2 linked regions of the Drosophila melanogaster genome follow. Changing the gene in region 1 together with any one later gene gives a genetic interaction. Each region holds a gene or a part of one and is shown on either strand. Other genes may lie near its edges.

Region 1 (4,744 bases):
CCCGTGTGTGAGTGATAATACCCAATACTCATACGACCCGTTGTACAACTTTGCTTCCTCGCCTTCTATTTCTCTTTCCGCAAAACTTGTAATACTTTTCGTCGCGCTCTAGCGTTTGTTGTCTTAAACTTGACTTAATTAAATTGTTCACTATTATTTTATTTTTACCTCTAGTCATTCATTGATTTATTTCGTCGGCGTTCGTTCCCCCTTATTTTACCGAGACGGGATTTAATTACAATCTACCAATTCCGAGTTCATCGTTAATAGTGTTCAAGGGGTATACTTCTATGTGGTTTTCCAGCATGGAGTTGTTGTTCTATAAACAGAACCCTAAACGGATCTTGGATTTTCCTTTCCCTAAACGTTTAACAATCTAATAATAAATTGACGTATCTGAATCATTAGCAGTCTGCTTAAAATCATCAGTTCATCACATAAATCGATCTTTATAATGATTTAATATGTTTAGATTGAAATTGAATAATATTTTCGTTAAGGGGGAAATTTTAAATGAATTCTATTTAGTATCGATTAAATTCCGACTAATTAAAAACTAACTTGATTTCATTTAAGTGGACAAAAACTCACTATACCATTACAAAATTCATTAGGTTAAACTTATTCAGTCCAAAGTTTTGCTCTCTTTAGGTTATTCCTTTTGATATAAATGAAGGGTGTCTAACTTTTAGTCATTAGAAATTTAAGTGCATTTTTCTATAAGTTCTTTTAATTAAAAAACGACCCAGAGGCTTTCCTTAAGTTTTCGTTCTTTGTTTCCAACTACCTCAATATTGTTAAAAAAAAAAAAAAATAGATCTGGAGTAGTTGTCAATCAGTTGCTTATCTCACCGTATCAACAACTAGCCATATTTGCTCTAAGTGAAAATGAAGTATACGCTCTGCAAGCCAGAGCGAAAATGGCCAGAAAGTGCAGCTGACTGCAGATTAAATTAAGTAGCGTTTCGTAATTGTGCCCCATTTATTCGACTAAATGCAAAAACAAGAATCGAAGTTGTATCACTTGTAATGTTTAAAACCTTTTTGCATGTGCCTATAGTTTTTTTAGTTGTCAATTGAAATAAGTTTTACTGAGAGCGTGTGCGACTACCGCATGATCGCACACCACTGCACAAATGCACACGCGTACTCACACCATTGCAGCAGAACACACGCACACAGATAGACTGGCGCACACAGATACTCGGGGCAGTCAAACGCTGACGATGACGTTTCAAAAACTCAAAAAGACGCCACATCCGAGACCTGAGACTTGTCAGCCAACAATAAAAAAAACAAAAAAAAAAAAATTTAAATAAAACAAATGGAAATAGTTGGATTGCAAAGCGACTAGCAAATTACCTAGCTAGTTTCAGCCACTGGAAATTCTTGTAATTAAGCAAAACTTACAAACAATATTATTTATCTTGAATTCACCGGAATGAAAATAGTGTACTGCGTAAAATATCCAATCAATCTTGCTGAATGAAACTAAAACCAATATCTAAAAATATTTTTTAATTTTTATATTTATTTTAATATTGGGTACGAAATCCAACTTTTAGAGTAAACAAACGACACAACTCCATTCAAAATTCGAATAAAGAGTACATTATTAAAATACCTTTCCAAATCTAAAGACATTTTAAAAAAATTATAGTTTTTATTATATGTATGTGGAAAAATCGCTCTCACAGGTAGTTTGTTTTCAATTTTTTTTTGGTTGAATGCACTTTTGTTTTAAGCGAGAAGTATCTTCACTCGTATTCGCTCGTATCTCATCCTTGGGTTTGCCTTATCTTTTTTGGCGCGGCATTTTTCTTCTGTTATTTTTGTCACTGCGGATGTTCTACCTAATGCACTTTTGCTTTTATTATTTTTATTTTTTTCCTCCACTTTTGCTTTGCACACTTCACAATTTTGCCGCAGCTGATTTGTAATTTAATCTTTTGAATCTGGCGCAAAACTTTGGTAATTAGCAGGTAAAGTAGTTAATTTACTTCGAAATTGAATCTTAGCTACATTAGTTTGGATGCACTTGTTCAATTAAATAAAACTTTACTACTTTAGTATTTAACTAAGATCAATTTTTAACTTGTGAAAACTTGTATTTGTGTTTTATTGCAACATCACTGACATATAACTACACTTTTTTATTTGGCTTTTTAAAAACGCCCATTATTATTTAAACTATTTATTTTTATCCATATATTGCCTTTGGCGGCTTATCCACTTTTGTTTTTTCCTCTGCCTTTCACTTTGTTTCTTCAAGAATTATTCCACATTTGTTCCTGTTTTTATGGCACGAGTGTTTTAAAAGTTACATAATAACTTTTCCCGTTCTGCTTTGCGCGTTTTTTTTTTTATACTTCTGCACTTGGTGACATATATACGCCAATATATAGAAAACGATATCCAATAACAAAAACACTTTAATTTCTTTTATGGTAAAAGGTAAAACAAAAAACTTTTTTGGCAATATCAGCAGAAACAAGGAAGAAAGCTGCAATTTAATTAAGCGCAAAGACGGAGACAAACAAAAATATTATTCCCCTTCAAATCCGAAACAGAACCGAAAAGGCGAAAAGTGTGTAATATGCGATCGAGTTACAGGCAGAGACAATATCAACGGCAGACGGCTTGACTTTGCTTCAGATCGGCCAAGTACTTGCGATATAAAACAATAACTGCGCGCTCAAAAAAAAAACCCGGAGAAAATGCGAATAAATCGAAAACCCGAATCGGAAAATTAAAGAGAGAGATCCGCTCGTTGACGCTGCGCTTGCTGGACTCAAACTGAATAAATGCACGAGAATTGCAAGTTCTAAGCTGGCGAAAATAAAAACTACAAACGCAAAAAGCCCGTGGATAAACGAAAAACCGCGAAATGCATCGAAATGTGAGCAGCGAGTCCCCAGAAGCGTTCTCACCGATACAAAGATACGAAACCGAATCGGTCGGGAGAGTCAGTCGGTCTACAAGTCTGTTGTAATGCCTTTTGCCGGCCGGGGCGTATACGCGATATGTGCAAGCATTCCCAGCTCTACCTGACTGACTGACTGATTGAGCACCGCCACTCGGCTATTATTTAATATGCTCTCCACACTCAGAATCCGCCATATCACTCAATTGCACCGATCGTGAACCTGAGTTGAGTCTTTATCTATCGCTCTATCAAACTATCAGCACGCTCAGAGCCACTCTGCTCAGAGGGTCTCTCTCGGATCGGATAGTATAGCTTTTCTATATAGTTTTCTTTCAACCTTTCTGTTTGTTGTCCAATATTCCGCGTGTTTCTGGCATTCCGTCTGGAGATTACAGATATAAGGGTCTCTCGGGGGTCTCGCAGGGGTGATTCAACGGGTTTTGTTTGTCCGCGACTTAAGTTCAAGGTCTGTGGCAGGGGTGAGTTTTTGACTATAGGTCGGCATAGACTGAAACTAGGTAGGTGGTGCAACATACCCTAACTATCTTTTGATCTATCTATACTGCTTCATGTCTATAAACTTACATTAACAGATCATATGTGCATTTCATGCAACGTGAGGCGAACTGAAATATAATTTGAAATAATAAGAGAAGTTAAACATAATTTAAAGTTAAAACTAAACAAACTGTTTTAATATTTAATCATTTAATTTAATGTAAACTTTTACTAATTAAATTGTCTTATAGTATGGAAAGTGATAAAAGAACTTCCAAACTGTCATTTCAGCTTTTGTTAATCCACACAAATAATTTCCAAAGCACTACGGCATTAGCTTTTTAATGCAAACTCATATTTCAATAAATATTTCATATATAAAGTAGTTTTAGTATGAATTCAATAGTGAACCACGACCCTTACCTTTGATTCCTTTGTCGTATTTTATCTTCAAAATCAATTCAATTGGAATTCAGCTCCGAATCTAGCACTACGACCTCACTTTCTGCAAAGGTAGCACAGAAAACTAATAATTCTGATTCTTATTCCATGATTGCCTAATCGCGAACCGCTTGCACCAGAAATTCGATATTTATTAGATGCTTACGTAACATTTCAGCACTCGATTTGCAATTTACAAGATTTTCTCGATTTGATTTGAAAGTTTTATAGGTTTATGCAACGCACAGGATGTATATATGTAGCTATTCAGCAATGCAGAGGTGTAGTCAGAACTACTTTGTTGTCAAACTGAAACTCAATAGTTTTTTTTATCAACCACTTTTATAAGTTAAAAGAAAAACCATAGTTATGTTCCACATTTATTTTATATTTTAATTGTTTTCCTCTTTATTTTACATCATTATTAAATTAAGAAGTACCAGTAAAAAAAATTTAGCACAAAAAACACAGAGAAAATATGTTGTTGATTTGATCTTAAGAATTTTAGAAATATTATAAATTTTTTTTTGTTTCATATAGAATTATGTAATAATTTCTTCATATAAAGTAGACACAAAAATAATGTCAAATTTTGGGATTGTATTGTATTTAGTGTCTAAACGTAAATACACGATGATTTAATTTAGACGTTCGTGTATATTTTGTATAAAATTACATAAATATTTTGTTGACAAAAAATGTTGATTTATTTATTTATTTTGTGTTGAGCTGAAAATTAAATTCGTGTTCTATAACTAGCGTAGAAAATGTACATATAATTTATGGATTATCCGTAAAAAGATATTTACAAAGACAAAGATGTGCCGACTGATAAAGCAAATTTTTGTTTTTAAAATTGATTTGCTTTATAGGGAGAGT
Region 2 (4,866 bases), on another chromosome or scaffold:
TTGCAAATTAGATTGCCAAAAATAAGCCAAAGGCATTTTTACATACATCACATTGTATTCATGCAAAGTGCGCGTCAGCTGCAGCAATCTTCATTAATTGCATTGCAATGAACGTTGGCATTTTCGCACATATGCCAGGGCAAAAAAGGCCAAGAAATGTCAGCCAGGCCAAACACAGCCATATGCAATATGCACACGTATAGTCGGAATTCTCGGAACGCATCGCCTGCAACGTCATTGTCATGAAATGCTTAAATTTATTGAGAGCATGCCACATATAGTATATACAACAACGTCCTTGTCCGGCACTTGGTATAATATCAGAACTCCTTGTTTATATTTTTAGTGGCAATACCAATTAATCTTAGTTGTCAAGAAGCCGGGCGCCCAGAAATAGCAATGTTATATATATATATATGTATATATATGTATAGGTAAGTATTTGTAAGTACTTGGTTCTTGCCTGTAAAATTAAGCACTTAATCATCGCTTGCAGATTTAATTAAATGCAGCATAATAGCAATTCAGGGAACAGGCAGCGATATTAATCATACGCCATGTTGTCAGCTTTATGAAATGCCTGCATAAATCTCTGCCAAGCCGCAGAATGCATTCTGCTGTTAAAAAAAAAAAATGCATGTGTGGGCGCTTGCTGTTGGCAAATTGTTTCAAATGTGCGCAATTTAAACGAAATTGAGAAACCAAAAGCGGAAAAATAAAGGACGAAGCAAACGTTTTCGGTCAGCCTTTTCCTTTTGACAAATTTGAACAAAAGCCAAAAAAAAAAAAAAAACCCCTCCAGAAACCCCAGCAGCATTAATTTCTGTGAGTTCTGTAATAAACTGGAGTATACGAAAAAATAACCACGACAGCTAAAAAGGGGAAAAATTTGGGGCAAAAAGGAAGTAAACAGCAGCGCGAACAAATGGCTCGTTTGGCTAACCTTTTCTGTTTGGCTGCCCTGCATTGCTTTTGTTTATAGAAAAGTTTAAATTGTGTCAATTTTTTGCTTTTTTGGCGCTCGCGCAATGCAGAAAGTTTGGGAAACAAATGAAATGTGGGTAAAAACAATTTCCGAAATCGCGACAAGGACGGCGACTTAGGACCCACAAAAAGTGTGGGTATGATAATGCCACAAAAAAAAAAAAGAGTATATTCTAAGATGTCAGGGGTGAAAGTTGGCATTCCAGTGAAAATTGCGTATTTTCCTATTAATTTTCCAGTGAGACGTTTACGAATTAAATCCCTAAGCGGATAGAATGGCGGATTTTCATCAGGTGCAGCTGGATGTCATAGACACAAAGCTTGCTATCAGCATAGTTTTACTGCTCTTTACGGTTCACTGCGATTCAGTGAAGCGAAAATATTTACTTTTTTGTTGAAATATTGATGACATTGGTCAGATTTACCATTTGAGCACACACAAACATGAATGCGAGCAGTGAACTTTGACACTTTTGTACATATATGGAAAAAATTCAATCAAAGTTTTCCATTTTATTACTGTATATTAATAATATTCTTTAATATACGATCCAATGAAATGCTTTCATGAGCCCCAATTATAATCAAATAACAAAACACTTAGCAAACAATGGTGACATTAATAAATTCACAGGACATTCATCAATCAAAAATCAGTTCGATCGATATTATTAACCCTTAAATACATTAAACTTTCGGTAATGACTGAGGTGCTTCCGTCGATTCCCATCTTCGAGGGGACATAATTTATTGATTTATGTATTCAGTCCATTTGGGAAATTAGGTTTCAATCATTTCCAATTGATTTCTTCGTCGCAATTGAGAAACTTTTCCTGCCAACTTTCAGCAGCAAAATAGTTGGACAAAACAGGCGAAAAGTCGGTTGGTATGGGAATGCAAAATGCTCGGCATCTCCTAGTGGCTAACAAAATCCACTGCCAAACTAATTTGTGGCCAAAACTATGTGAGAGGCGAGCAGGAATGAAGCATGTGCCAAAATAATACAATAGAACCAACTGAAACTTACTTGGGCTTAGTTGAAAAGAAAACTTTCGCTAGCCAAGAAATTAAAGTGAAGTAGGAACTAGACTTCTGGACAATTTACGAGCTCCCATGGGATCGCCAACCGTTTTGGTAACCATGTATATAGCACATATATAGTATGTGCGCGTCGAGTCAGTTTGGCAATATAAATGACGATAAATTAATTATCGGCCGATCAAGTCATTGTCGCCATTAATTATGGGCCCACGATGCACGGCCCAACGGCCTTTTAATAGTTTTTCACACGCCCACGGGACTCAGGACCTTCGGCAATTAGGATGTGAGGTAGATGGATGTGAGGTAGATGGAGATGAGGAGATGAAATGAAATATGGCGTGAATGGGCCGAGGTTTTATGACAATGTTTGCTGCCTGAATAGCGCGGCAGCATCGTCTGGGCCATGAATTTAATGCGCTGCAACAGTTAATGATTTTATTGGCACTCCAGTCGCAACTTGGCCACATCTTTGGGCAGAGACCGGGAATCGGGGACAGCGGATTGGTGTTAGAATCCTCGTAAACAGTCGGGCTGGAATTTATGACTTGGTCTCATGAATATAATCAATGTCAAGAGCGACGCCAAGTGTCGTCTGGGGATCGCACTTGCCGCGCTCTCGAATCCATTCCCCGCAAGAAATCTGAGTGCCCTGACCAGACGCAGACGAATCCGGATGAGCCGTAAACGAAGACGGGCAAATCGCTCGCCTGGCTTAAATGGCATTTCAATTTGGCACTTCCGTTTCCGCAACATCCCACCCCCATTGCTTTCTATTGGCTTTCTATTCTTTGTCCGTAATGTCCTTGCCAACATTTCAATTGGTTCAACACTGGCTGACTGGGGTCACTTCTGCAGGTCTTGCTACGGATAATCCTTAAACATTTCAGCGTTAGAACTTCGAACACTTCGATCCGTTTACCAATAACATTTTACATTTCACTCGAGCAATTTAACTGCTGTTTTCGGGTTCAAAAACTAATTCAACAGCGGTTCTGGGTGCGCGCGTTCAACCAATGCGTTTGAAAGTCCCAATGTAACTGAAACGGCGTGGGCCAAACACAAATAACACGCTACGCAGATGTAAGCTCACCGGAAGGACTTTAAAGGACGAGCGTTCGGAGCTTTTATTTAAATCGAAAAGTAACTGACGGCAGTGGGATGTGACAAAAGTTCGTTGCTATGCAACGAAGGTCAGCCCAGTGTGGCAACGATTGCTTCATAAATTTCAATGAGTCTGGCAGCCCTGTTTTTATCTAATTCAAATTTGTAAATATCGTTTTTCTATCAATGGTCAATGCCTTCAATATTTGAACAAATCAAATTTTCTCTAGAACTGCTTGTTAAAAATTGTTGACATTCTGCAAAACTTTAACAGTAATTACTAAAAATATGGTGTGTCAAAGTGATCGATGTTTCACAAAAGGTATGTAATATCGATAGTATCGAGTAAACATTTTAGTGTGTTCCATCTCTAATCATAGTTACGCTTGCGCATTGTAGACATAATTTTAATTACCGATTTACACACAATTAATTGCTACAAATATGCCTGATAAAGTTACAACGATGTTATTAACCGCGTGAATATGAGGTAGCACCCAAAGAAGAGTTAGTTATCAATTAATTAGAGGCCTAGAAAAGTGTAACAAAATACGCCTGGCCATTGGTGCGCATGTGTGTGTGCCATTGATTACATAGTTGGCATAGGCGACGCACGGGTGCGAGCGAGAGGGGGCATCATCCAAAAAGGGGCGCAACAGAAACCGCATTCCATTTCCAGAAATCCAGGTTGCAGCTTCCATCCATGAGAAAGGTGCGTACAAATGTCCAGATGTGGGTTAAGATTGGCCAGTACTCCTCATCATTCGTTTTCTCCACACAGTAAGCGCCATGCACCACCATCATCCGCCTTTGCCCATAACCGGAGCAAGTGGCTCCACAGCCGTGGGAACGGGAGCAGCTGCAGCGGAGGATGCATCACCTGCTGCGAATAGTGGGCCCGCCCCCATAAGCACCTCAACCACGCCTTCGGGATCCAACAGCCAGCAGCATCAGCGACGTCGCAAGAAGCGAGCCAACTACAACTACAATGGCATCCGCACCGTGGAAGTGCGACGTGGTTACAATGGCTTCGGTTTCACCATTTCCGGGCAGCAACCATGTCGGCTGTCTTGCATCATCAGCAGCTCACCTGCCGAGCAAGCTGGCCTGCGTTCCGGTGACTTCCTCATATCGGTCAACGGTCTAAATGTCTCCAAGTTGCCACACGAAACAGTGGTGCAGCTCATTGGCAACTCCTTTGGCAGTATTCGCATGCAGATCGCCGAGAATTATTATTCCGACAGCTCGGATGAGGAGAACGCCCATGCCACGCTGAGGGGTCAATTGTTGGCAGCCAGTTTGAGGCACAAGCCCAGGTTTCTACACCACAAAGCCAAACTGCACAGATTGCGCAACTCGCCACAAAAGAAGCTAAACCCACCAGAGGCAGTGGAACCGCACAAATCAAAGTCATCACCCGATCACCCTACATTAAAACCCGTTCTGGAGGATCCGCCTCTGACAGCCAATCTATCCAAAGCAGCGGATGTGGCCAATGTAAGTGCCATGGTGCGAGCTGTGGGCAGTGCTGCACTGGAGTGCCGTGTTATTGTTGGCTATCTGGGAACCATCGAGATGCCCAAGCAGATCTCGCATAGTTCCAAGCTGCAGACAGTTCGATCTTGCATTCGAAAACTGAGACAGGAGAAGCGACAGCCCACCATTGTGCTGATGTGCATCACGCCGGACAGCTTGAGCCTGCAGAGTTCCAGCGGCGGAGTGCTGGCCACCTACTCCTCG

Evidence for each region. Genes that interact genetically often act in the same process or in processes that back each other up.
Region 2: of Clk (region 1) and wake, changing one suppresses a phenotype caused by changing the other (phenotypic suppression), as found in Drosophila melanogaster (one study listed by BioGRID).

Annotation. Positions count from the first base shown.
Region 1 is NT_037436.4:7,772,566-7,777,309, forward strand, and holds the start of Clk (clock), read right to left. Parts: upstream 3,039-4,744; 5' UTR 2,931-3,038; intron 1-2,930. UniProt on the Drosophila melanogaster protein: Circadian regulator that acts as a transcription factor and generates a rhythmic output with a period of about 24 hours. Oscillates in antiphase to the cycling observed for period (PER) and timeless (TIM).
Region 2 is NT_033777.3:22,637,989-22,642,854, reverse strand, and holds the start of wake (wide awake), read right to left. Parts: upstream 3,048-4,866; 5' UTR 2,945-3,047; intron 1-2,944. Other genes in the region: loco (locomotion defects), read left to right, coding at 3,916-4,866.